Yarrowia lipolytica: one gene and its partners. The protein of the gene in region 3 purifies or fractionates together with the protein of the main gene of each other region. This does not show direct contact. Links are inferred from orthologs where the notes say so. Each region holds a gene or a part of one and is shown on either strand. Other genes may lie near its edges.

Region 1 (3,410 bases), about 500 kb from region 3:
CTTCCCACAGACCCTTTCCTCAGATGCCCCTTCAGAGAAGGCACTCTTTGGGATAACTTGGCCCCGTGTAGGTATGCGGCTGCATTCCTGTTGTTCTCGCACCGTATTTTATCGCCGTGGAGATGAAATCCACGAACATTAGTCCACGCTCGGCTCCGCTAATACATGCCCCCAATCACAAAGACAGTTGGATATAAATAATATTTTAAACTGTGTACATATCTGGCAAGGTACAAACTGACAGATTTGACATATCAATTGCGAGTTTGGTTGACATTGACGTGTTGACACCTTAGTGTAGTTCCTTCTCAGTTGACACCTATCATCTGTCAGCTTCCAATTAACGAAATGTAATCCTACCATTAAGAACCTGTCATCAGAAACCTGTCACCAATAAGCTGTCATCATAAACAAACAAACAATCAACCTATCGGTGTCAAAGCGCGTCCCAAACACCCACGTGCAATACACGCATCTGGATTGTTTCCCGTCGATCCCAACCTGTCCGATCCATGTAATCCTATTATTCAACAAAACCCACAATATCTACTGGTGAATTACCAGAGGGTTTTCTTTTTGGGCTGACTATCGGTTTAGTCTCAGTAATCATCTCCTCCTCGCTCATCATCTCCCCATCGCTTTCCAAATCCTCCTCGACCGGAATCATAGTCCTGTCGGAACTCATCTCGCACCTGGCCTCCGGAGGAGCCCCGGCCAAATTGTCGTCCCTCCTTGAAGCCAGGATCCAGATCAATGGTAATGATTCGCTCGTCAAGCTTGGTCTTATGCAGGTATTTGAGGCAGGCGACAGCGTCGTCGTGCTCGTAGTATTCCACGAAGCAGAATCCACAAGGAGTCTTTTGGTATCGGTCGAGACCCATGATGATCTTCTTCACCTTTGCAATTCTGTGTTAGTATAGGCCGGGGAGATATGCCATAATGCTTTGAACTCGGGAGATTCCAGTTGAGAAGTGATTCCAAGAAAAGCGACATAGCAATCCGAAATTAATATTCCAGTTTCTAGATAGCTGCCTCAGAAAACAATTCAACAGTCAATCTACATGTCGATCGAAGTCCTCGAGTCGTAGAGTGGTTGAATTGGTCTTGAAGACGTCAGTCTAACATCCCCGAAGTCCCTGATTCTTCAGATCCTCTCCTGTGCTTCTAAATCCACACATGGGAAACAATTGGGAGCGTTACTCACTTGGTGAACAACTCGTGGATCTGCTCCTCTGTTGTGAAGAATGAGAGGTTACCGACATAGAGAGTGGTTGTGACATCCAGAGCAGCGAGATCCTCCTCACCCTGTCGAGATCTTCGCGCTTGTCGCAAGACATAAGAAGAGGGGCCGTCGAGTCGCTGAGCCGAGTTGATGGGCTTGGCTGTGAACAGATCCGCGGGTTCAGACATGGTGTGTAATTAGTGTGAAACGAGATACTTTGGTGCTGAGCCGAAAAAGTGTAGATTTCGACGTGCATAAAATATCAGTACAAGTACCCCCACAGTACGTGTGTTCGATTCACCAGTGGGTCGTAAAATTAGGTATAATTCTAGAAACCTTAAACTTTTGTATTACTAAAACACCCGACGGTAGGCGGCATACAATTAATTTCTTTTTACACAAGCTAGATCCTTCCACTGGTACGTACCGTGTACATATAGAGTACTTGTAGCGCCAAAAAGAAGCATTGTAATTATAGGAATAGGCCTTAAATCACCCTAATCCCCGTTTTTTTTCACAGGCATGTCAAACTTTTGGGAGTATAATATATGTGAATGTGTGAGTTAATGAGTGAAGGAGATGGGCGGTGAGTGAGTGTGTGTGTACAATACATTTCGCTCTTGGCGAACAAAACTGTGTATGTATGTATACAGCTGACGTTTTTGGTGCCAATATTGCGCACTAAAGTCGAGCTACTTGAGGGATGTTACATACTTACACTGTAGCTTCTTGAACAATAGGATCTCTCTTGTCTATATCAAGATGACATCAGATAATGTGGAAAAGCAACCATCGATAGCAAAGGAAGGCTTACCCTTGTTCTTGTCGTGTGCCGCAGGGTATTTTCGTCGGTCTCCGAACAGACTGCTGAGATGTACGTGTTCTTCGGTTCATTAGGTTGTGCATCCTTTTCTGCATTAATATTTTATACCTTACACGAACACTATCGAAGTATGCAACCGCATGGAATTCAGCGTGTGCCTGTGCCTGGGGGAGAGAGAAGATGAAATACAGTGGAGAAGGTGTAGGGGAATCCGGAGAAGCCCATTGTTGTGACCTTAGAAAATCCACAGCTTCAATATGCCACGATACGGGAAGCTATGATTACATGTCCCGAAATGTATACAGGACATGAAATGTAATTCATTCATTTAGGACCCTTTTGCCATGGATGGTCAGTAGGGTAACACATTTTAACGAGAACAAGGTAGTTTACAAAGTTTGCAGATTAGTCGCTCCCCATTAGCAAGGTTGAAAAAATTAGCTAGAATCCAGACACGCAGGGAGCGAAGATAACAAACCCCACAAGGCTGAAAAAGAGATATGAATGGTCAGGCCAGGTAGGCTGTGTAAGAGTCTCAAGCAACGTCGCTCGTACTCCAGGTACCAGGTCACGTGGCTTTTCTTGTAGTTATAGTGCCCACCCTCTGGGCTGCATATTCATGTCCTCTTCCCCACTCTTTTGATACTAGACTTTTCGGCTTTGCCGAACCGGATAACCTCCAGGTTTAGGGCTACATGTAAGACCGAATATCTATCCGCCAAAAGAGAGCACGCACCACAGCTGTGGGATTCCGTTATTTTCATGAGCGTTGTCTGTCGGTTCCCAGGGGTGGGTTTGCTGTCAAACAATACAGTAGACTGGTGAAAAAGATTGACCCTATAGCAGTCTGGGGTACGAGACTTATGACATTCATGGAATGTGGAGAAATGCCAAGACGCTGGGACACGGCAATCTGCGACATTGCCCGTGGAGAGACGACGAGCTTACTCGCAGCTGAATAACAGTGCGTTATCTGGTGGCGAGGGTTGCCAGTTGTGCGCGTTACCGTCGTTTTCTATATTGTCAAAACGAAAAAGAGATATGCGAATGGTTATGGTTTTTTCTACAGACCAATGATAATTCCTAATGAAAGACGTCACATCTTGTGTTTTCTTAATGAAGTGTATTAGACAGGGGCTAACGGATCTAAAAATGGTGAGAAATTTAAACTTGCAAGTGTTTGCGAGACCAGACCAGCTAGTCGGACTGTTTACTTGTCTGTCTCCCCGCAAACAAAAATACATCCAGGTCTTTCTTCATGATTAATTAGGGCCATTTATGAGTAACTTGTGCTTTCTCTGTTTGACCAATCTAAAGTTCAATACGTTGGTAGCTAAAATAGAGTTTCAGTGCTGCGCTACATTA
Region 2 (3,357 bases), on a different chromosome or scaffold from region 3:
CCTCGACATCCCTCAGATTGTGCGGGACAGTGGCATGACCGTGGTCAAGAACAAGACTGGTGGTTTCGGAACAAACCACCTGTACATTCTGGAGGTTCCCGAGGAGCCGAAGGTCGAGCCTGTCGTCAAGGTCGAGACCAAGGTTGAGACCAAGCCCGAACAGAAGTAATTGTATATATGTAAATAGTATCAAGGAATATACCTGATCGAGAGACTGTAGGGAAAGAAGGGCGTCAGGTAATGTAGATCGTGTCACATGATACAGCATGTGATCACAATATATCCCGAATGTGCTTACTGCAGTCCGAAGGAGTTTTGGACTACGACAAGTACATGCAATAGATCTCTCTCTCATCTACGAGTGTTTTCTTCGTCAGAAATGTACGTGCCATTGATTTAAAAAAGTACTTTATATCTGTAACTCTCCATGTCCAGAACATAAAACATACAATGCTAATCTTCATCTGTTATAAATACATTTATATCTGGCCCGTGTCCAGTCTTGCATGCAGAGCCACAGCCAGTGCTACTCCCTAGATGAGTCTCCGCTTCACACCCAACACTCAGGCTGTACCTTCAAAGGCATTATGTTCACGCAGCAATAGCCTTGGCAGCAATAATCTCCTTTGCCTCCTTATCAATCAAGTCTCCAGCACTAGGGTACACCAAACTGGCTTCGTAGGCAGCAATGACTCGATCTTCGGTGATACCAACCTCATTAGCAGCCAGAGCCTTGAAACAGTTGGCGTACCGCGCAATGTTCTCTCTGACAGACCGGGGAATGTCCTCGTTCTTGTCACTGTATGTCTCAGTCAAAGAGGCCTCTTCTTCCAGTCGAGTGATACTTGTGGTGTTCTCTCGAGTCAGGTGAGAATTGGCCCAGGCCATACATAGCCAGATCCAGCCATTGACTCCCACCACAGTGTCCACTCCGCCAGGCAGTTGGTGAACATGGCTCTTTGCACGCACAATCAGAGCGCTGGGCACAGTGATGAGAACTCCGTTACGCAGTTTACCGTACCGCAACGAACGGGTATGCAGAGCAGCAGATCCGTCCTGGTACAGCGACTGAACCTCTGTGTTGATGAGATCTCCTTCCTTGAGGAATCCTCGCATCTGCAGCTCGTCGGACTCCTGCTTTCGACGCAAAATACCTCCGGGCAGGTTAACGGAGCCCAGCTGAAGCACAGCCAGCTGCTTGGCGCCAATGTCGACCCGCCATCGCTTCACTCCCACGTCCACAATCCGTCCCACCACGTGGTCTCCGATCTGGGGTTGGTATCGGCCTCGCAGCGGTACCACACTCAGCAGCTTGTTGGTCTTGGTCACCACTCCAGCAGTGGATGAGAAGGTCTTGTTGCCCACCGAGTAGGTACCGTGGCCTCGCATCCAAATGGGGTCCTCTGTAATCAGCTTGCCGGGCGTCACCAGACCCGCAGCCACGTTTGCTGCCTGAGCATTGTCGTCCATATCTTCGTTTTCGTCGTCAGACATGACCATCTGCTCCTCGGCGTCCGAGTCGGCGTCCGAATACACCATTTCCACGTCTTCCTCCTCTCGGGGAGTCGCCTTTTGAATCGTCAAGATGGCCATTGTGTTGCACTTGTGGATGTAATAAGGGTGGTTTGATGGTGGATATGTGCCTGGGATATTTTTCTAAATCAAGGTTTGAGTGTGGCGAAGAGAAGGATATGAAGTGGGTGGAAAAACGGGGTATCGAGTATATTTACGGATTATTTGAAGATTGAATAAGACTCTAAGGAGAAATAATAATATATTTTTAATTTTCCCCGAACTTTTACGACTTATATTGAGCAGTTTTATTTTACCCAACTATTATGTAGACAAAATCGGTTCAAAATTCAGACAAAATCGATTTAAATTTCAGACAAAATCGGTTTAAATTTCAGATAAAATCGGTTTACTTCCAAAAGTGTATAAAATCATTTTTTAAGAGCATATAAAACAATATCACTATGAAAATTGATAGAAAAATCGAACTTGTTCTTTTCTGCAGAGATATATCAAATTCGACTCAGATTTCAATTATTTTCCATGAATTATTTCAACAACTTTTCATACCACATCAAACTAATTACTTAGGTGTATTATTCATTCACAATGCATCAGAACCTAATGCTGGATAAGAAGTTTTCAACATGCACGATTTTTTAGTCCTCTATGAAGTTCAACTTCTGGAAGGGTCTGTGGAAACCGAAATCTCTCACGCCGACTCTCTCACACCGTCTCTACCGCAGAATGTACACACCGCAACCCCCGTTGAACCGCGAAATGACGGTTTTGGACCGGTCCAAGTTCACCGTGTCTCTCAACCTGGCCCTGGCCAAGTTCCCTGATCCGAAATACATTGCGCAGTTCGCCAAGGAGTGCAAGGCCGACATTTTGCAGCTGCGAAGCATTAACCACGTTCAGAAGACGGACGACAATGGCCGGGCCGTTCTTCTGAGACACGATCTGGATCTCGAGGGAGGTGAAGATGTAGCCTCCAAGGTTATGAGCCAGCTGAGTCCCCGAGGAAAGGAGCTGCTGACCGAGGCCCAGGCAGATATTACCAAGATTGTGAAAGATCTCGACTACGACTTTTGGCGAGCCGACGAGATTTTCTACTCCGTGTTGCCAGTCACGGAGAAAGACGAGATTCCCAGTGGATTCTCCATGGTGGGACATGTGGCTCATCTCAACCTGCGGTCTGAATGGAAGGATTACGACCGACTCATTGGCCAGGTGATTCTCGATAAGAACCCCCGAGTCAAGACCGTGGTCAACAAGGTCGATTCTATCGACACGAAGTTCCGAACGTTCAAGATGGACGTTCTGGCCGGTGAAGATAACACCGAGGTGGAGCAGCATGAGAGTGGCTGCCGATTCCAGTTTGATTTCGCAAAGGTGTACTGGAACTCGCGACTGCATACCGAGCACGACCGGCTGGTCAGCCTGTTCAGAGGAGAGGCTTCTTCGCGTGAACGTAAGCAGCAGGAGCGAGCCAAGAGAGAGAACCACGAGAAGAGCACCGAAACCGCTGTCGAGCCCGACAACACACCTGCTACGGCTGTCTGTGACGTCTTTGCAGGCGTGGGTCCCTTTGCCGTTCCCTCAGGACGAACTTCTCTGTTTGTCATGGCTAACGATCTCAACCCTTACTCGTACGAGGCTCTGGAACATAATGTCAAGCTCAACAAGGTCTCCGAGTATGTCAAGTGCTTCAATCTCGACGGCGCAGAGTACGTGCAACAGAGCATGAAGCTGCTGGACGAACACAGAAGGACCCAGCCCACTATTAACCCTGTTCAGGTGCGAAAGCGAAAGGCCGGACAGCCCGTGGTCAAGCAAGACATT
Region 3 (4,874 bases):
CTGCGCAGATCCCACTGGCAGCGATTGCTGAGTGTTGATTGGTTTGCTCATGTTGTCGAGGTACGAATTTTGGAGATGTTACTGCACAGTCAGATATTGGACGTGAACTCTAATGAGGAGCCGAGATTTATATATAGTATGTATTATGTACACGTTGATGGAAATTTTGAGGGGTTGCTTAGTATTATATCAGTTCATTTTCGTTGTAGAATTAGCCTGTTGTCAGTAAAATACTTGGTGAAATCTCTTATCCTGAGAGCCACGTTCTCAGAGCGCCCAGATTATACCTGTAAGGTAATGTACGTAGGACTGCTGGAGCCGACAAGAGACCCTCTCAAAAAGAAGCGCAATTCTAACAGAATTACAACGATGACTTCAAATCGAGGTTTAAATTAGTCATCTAAGTGGTTGTTTTTTTTTTTATGTTTTTTTTTTATTTTTTCATCCTTTTTCTTTTCATTCGTTCAGGACATCTACATCTTGACTGGTGTATAGGCATGGGAAGATTATCGTGACTTCAAACCACGTAACGGGACAACTACAACAAGCCTGTATAAGTGCTGTACATCCCACATACAACTCAAAACCTTTAAATATCATAATCATTAATCTATCTATACATTTTTTCCTCTCTTAGTAAGCTATCTACTGCTGAGGAGGAAAGCCACCCATGGAAGGGATACCGTTGGGGAAGAGAGCTGCCAGAGCCGCGTTGGCGTCCATCTGGGCAGCGTTGACTTGTGGTGGAGGAGCGGGAGATCTGATGCCGACAGGAACGTGGTTGGCGTTGCCTCCGTAGCCTCCTCCTCCGTAACCTCCTCCATAACCTCCTCCGTATCCACCTCGGTCTCCTCCGTAGCCCCCACCTCGGCCTCCATCTCGTCCCCCATCTCGGTCAAATCCTCCGCCCCCTTCTCGATCAGGGAAGGAAGATCGGGGTCCATTTCGGCCACCGGCGTTGGTGGGCATTCGCTTGGACTTGGCCTTGGAAGAAACGCCGGTACCAACCTCGATATCGGGCTCCTCGATACACATGCCAGGAGCCACAGGGACTCCTCCAGTGCCTCCGTAGGGAGCAGAAACCACCCACTTCATGTCTGCCTCGGTAAGCGTGGCAATGGGGATGACGGAAATACCGGTCTGGTAGTTGGAGCAGTCTCGAGGACCGAAACCGACACCCCATCGGGCTCGCAGAGTGATACTGCCCTGCTGGTTGAGTCGGGTGAAGTTCTGCAGAACGGCCTCGGCCTCAGCTCGAGTGTACATTTTACAGAAGGCGTGCTTTCGCTCTCTGTGCATTACCAGCGACTGGGTTCGGCCATAGGGTCGCAGAATGGATAGAAGCTCCTCGTTAGTGGTCGACATAGTCACACCTCCAATGAAGATAGTTCGAGACAGCACCTTGATGGTTCCAGGAGGCAAAGAGTTGTCGTAGGTGACCTTCTTCTCGGTGGGAGGAGGAGCGTCGTCCTCAAAGGTGTCGGTTCCGGGAGGTTGTCGGTTCTGGTTTCGGCCTCGGCCAAAGTCCCGATCTCCTCCTCGGTCTCCCCCTCGGTCTCCAGAACGGTCTCGGTAGTTTCGGTCTCGTCCGAAATCACGGTCTCGGGGATCTCGGTCCCGGGGGTCCCTGTCTCTGTACTCTCTAGAACGGTCTCGGAAGTTGTCTCGGGGATCTCGGGGGTCTCGGGGGTCTCTCGACGGAAGGTTCCAGGCCTGGTTGACATCTCCACCGGGCATGGTAGGAGGAGCACCGCCAGACTGAGCCATGATCATCTTGAGCACATCAGCAGCAGCATTGGGGTTGGCAGCGGGTGCGGGGGCAGGTGCGCCCGCGGCAGCGCCAGCGTTCATGCTAGCAAGAGCCTGCAGAATGGAGGCTGTATCAGTAGGCACGGGGTTGGAGGCAGCGGGAGCAGAGGGAGCAGCACCGCCAAGAACAGCGGCCAGAGCAGCAGCAGCATTGGCGCCTCCAGCAGGAGCTGCTGTGGATCCAGTGACAGGGGGCTGGCCCTGGTTAATGAGATCAATCAGCTGCGAGGGAGGAGACTGCTCAGGGGTCTTGGACATACTAAAGAAGCCCCGCATTCTCTGCATGGAGTCAGGGGGGAAAGTTCCAGCCTTCTGCCAAATCTCCACCAGCTTGTCCAGCTTGTCTCGAGTGTCGTCAGAGGAAGTATGGTCTACACACTCTCGAGCAGCTCTCTCGACAAACTCAGAGATTCGGAAAAGACCCTTGGCATGGGAGCCGTCGGGAGCTTGGGGGTTCAGAGCATGGCCAACCTTCTTGTTCTCCTCTTGGTACGCTCGAGCAACGGCATCTAGAACATACATGGCTCCAAGCTTGTGGCTCAGAGGAGTCTTGTTGAGATGTCGCTCAAGGATGGGAATGAGAGTGGATTCCATCTGGGTTAGTAATACGTTGGGGAAGGGCTATGGGGTACCATGATCTCGTAGGTTACGGTGGTTACGATAGTGGTTTGAGATGATTTGAAAACTTGGGGAGCCATCTTATCACCATATTGGAGTGTGACAAGATGTTCGTTCACCCTCAAACCAGATACAATGGTACAGTTGCAACGTACAACTGATTACTGTGTACGTGTTATACTGCGCGCGCGTGTTTTACTGCAATGAAAGCAAAATAACAGTGTGAAATAACGGTGATTTTTTTTGTATTGTAGGTGTGGCAGCCGGGTCGCCATCTCCACTTGTGTAAGAACAAAATAAGGGTATCATTTGTTAATGTTCCGACAATAAGACACATTGATAAATAGACACTGGACAAGCGTGTCAGTTCATACGATAAAAGTCCCTGATATCACTCGTGTGTTGTCGTCATCATTGTCACCGTTGCGTCTCACCTCCATATATACCATACGATCTACCGGTTGGTCGTCACAAAAGTCAGGATAATACTCACATCAACGTTCTTCATGGCCAACTCTCGAATTCCGTTAATCTTGGAGCCAGACACTCCTGGAGCCTTTGCCACCAACATGGATGCCAAAAGCGCCTCGAATTCAGTTTCCACTGCCGAAGACATTTGTGTTTGTGTGTGTGTCGTGATTTGTGTGTTTAGTGCGTGTGTCAAAGCTGGGGGCAAAATACTGTACTACAATAATACCACTTGATACGATACGAGTACTGTGTTTGTGTTGTCGTAGAATGTTTTGCTGAGTGCTGAGATGTTGTGTGGATGAAGGAGAGTGGGTTGCGCAAAAACTGGTACCATATTGTAGTTAGGGTTACCCGGCCGGATTTAAGGTTACATAGGTTGTAAGTCATATGATGTGAAAGTGTCATCGTGGAATATAGAAGGATGTTATGGTTGCCCTGTTTGCCAAATTTTGACAGGCTCCTTATATACTACGTTGAATTTTTTGTATTATCAAATCTATTTATGTAGCTACTGTACATGAGTCTCAATGGCACTTCAGATTTTTTTCTTTTAACTCAGGTAAGAGAAGAATGTGGTATAAATTTGAGCCCAAGAGGGAACCATAATCATGCTGTACGGAAAGTTGTATTGTCCTAACTTCTGGTCAGAGCTTATTCTCACAGTATAATAAACGTCAGAAAAGGCTTAAAGATGAAACAGTCAACAGATACATCATTTTGTGCTTTTTTAACAGGTTTTTTTATTCTAGGGAACAGATTATGAGTTCTCGTGTCAGGACTCCATGGCTACCATCCTCAAAAAGTTTATAGCCGCCTTCGTGGCCAAGTGGTAAGGCGCAGCACTAGTAATGCTGAGATCATCAGTTCAAATCTGGTCGAAGGCATATATTTTTATAATTTTTGAACACAGGGTACACTGCCGGTTACCAGTACTTGAACCACTATATTACCAATCAATCTTCTTTTACTCACTCACACTACTGTACAATTTATGCACATGATACAGTAGGTACAGTATGTACCGTACATACAGCTCAAATCATTTGACTTCAGGGGTTCTATATAAAAATACATCATTTCGTTTTATTTTGCACACTCTCTCTCTACTCCTCATCATCCTCCAGCTGCTCGTCAATGAACTCAACTGCTTCCTTGAACCGTTCCTCCACAATTCGATGTAGACCGGTGCTGTCACATCGGAGCACTCGTCCAAACTTACGCCTTGGCTTCTTGGGGTTAGTGCTCACATCCCAGCAGGGATGGGTGTCCGCAGTGAAAACCAGTGACGATCGGTAGAACCAGTCGGTGATGTACTCGTCAATAATGGAGACAATAGGGCGCAGCTGGGTCTCGGAGATGAAGTTGATGACGCAGTTGACCTTTTCTCGGGTGTCTCGGTGGCCTACCAGATGCACCAGACCAGCGTAGGCATCACCAAAGCCCACCATGATCACGTTCTGCGCGTCAAACACACTGAGGTACTTGTCCCACAGATACAGGCACACCTCCTGGCTGGCAAACAGTGCATAGTAGTTGTCGTCGTCAGCTCCATTCAAAGCCTTGGGAATGTTGACGTCAATGATACCGTATCCCCGTCCATGTGCCCACTCCAGCCACTTTGTCGTCACGTCAACCATGCAGGAATCAAAGTCAAGCTCGCCAGTGACAGCGTCCACCTTACCCCAGATCTGAGGAGGATCATGCACAAACACAACCACGGTTTCGGCCGAGTGGATTTTTGGTGATGCAAGAATCTGGTCTGCCAGAGAGATTGACGATCCTGAAGCAGGACCAGCAGTGGCAGCCCGTCCAGATGGCGTACTGCTGCTTCCTCCCATGTTTGGAAGAGCCGATAGCTTGTACTTGTCGAACAGCTTGCGTGCCTGGTAGGATCGAACGACGTCACCCATCAGATCGTACGTGGTGATCTCCTTGGGAATGATAGTCTCAAAGCCAGGCTGCAGACATCGCCAGTA

The links.
Region 1: the proteins of YALI1_E29665g (region 3) and YALI1_E34621g purify together in Saccharomyces cerevisiae (affinity purification with mass spectrometry; 6 studies listed by BioGRID). This does not show direct contact. The link is inferred for Yarrowia lipolytica from reciprocal best matches to the Saccharomyces cerevisiae genes NRD1 and CBC2.
Region 2: the proteins of YALI1_E29665g (region 3) and YALI1_D07124g purify together in Saccharomyces cerevisiae (affinity purification with western blotting; 3 studies listed by BioGRID, with this or other methods). This does not show direct contact. The link is inferred for Yarrowia lipolytica from reciprocal best matches to the Saccharomyces cerevisiae genes NRD1 and RRP4.

The regions. Positions count from the first base shown.
Region 1 is NC_090774.1:3,461,264-3,464,673, forward strand, and holds YALI1_E34621g (uncharacterized protein), read right to left. Parts: upstream 1,411-3,410; coding exon 1,205-1,410; intron 907-1,204; coding exon 600-906; downstream 1-599.
Region 2 is NC_090773.1:710,658-714,014, reverse strand, and holds YALI1_D07124g (uncharacterized protein), read right to left. Parts: upstream 1,594-3,357; coding exon 592-1,593; downstream 1-591. Other genes in the region: YALI1_D07149g (uncharacterized protein), read left to right, coding at 1-169; YALI1_D07118g (uncharacterized protein), read left to right, coding at 2,182-3,357. UniProt on the Saccharomyces cerevisiae protein: Non-catalytic component of the RNA exosome complex which has 3'->5' exoribonuclease activity and participates in a multitude of cellular RNA processing and degradation events.
Region 3 is NC_090774.1:2,964,129-2,969,002, forward strand, and holds YALI1_E29665g (uncharacterized protein), read right to left. Parts: upstream 3,044-4,874; coding exon 2,921-3,043; intron 2,404-2,920; coding exon 646-2,403; downstream 1-645. Other genes in the region: YALI1_E29642g (uncharacterized protein), read right to left, coding at 1-51; YALI1_E29709g (uncharacterized protein), read right to left, coding at 4,002-4,874. UniProt on the Saccharomyces cerevisiae protein: Plays a role in sequence-specific regulation of nuclear pre-mRNA abundance.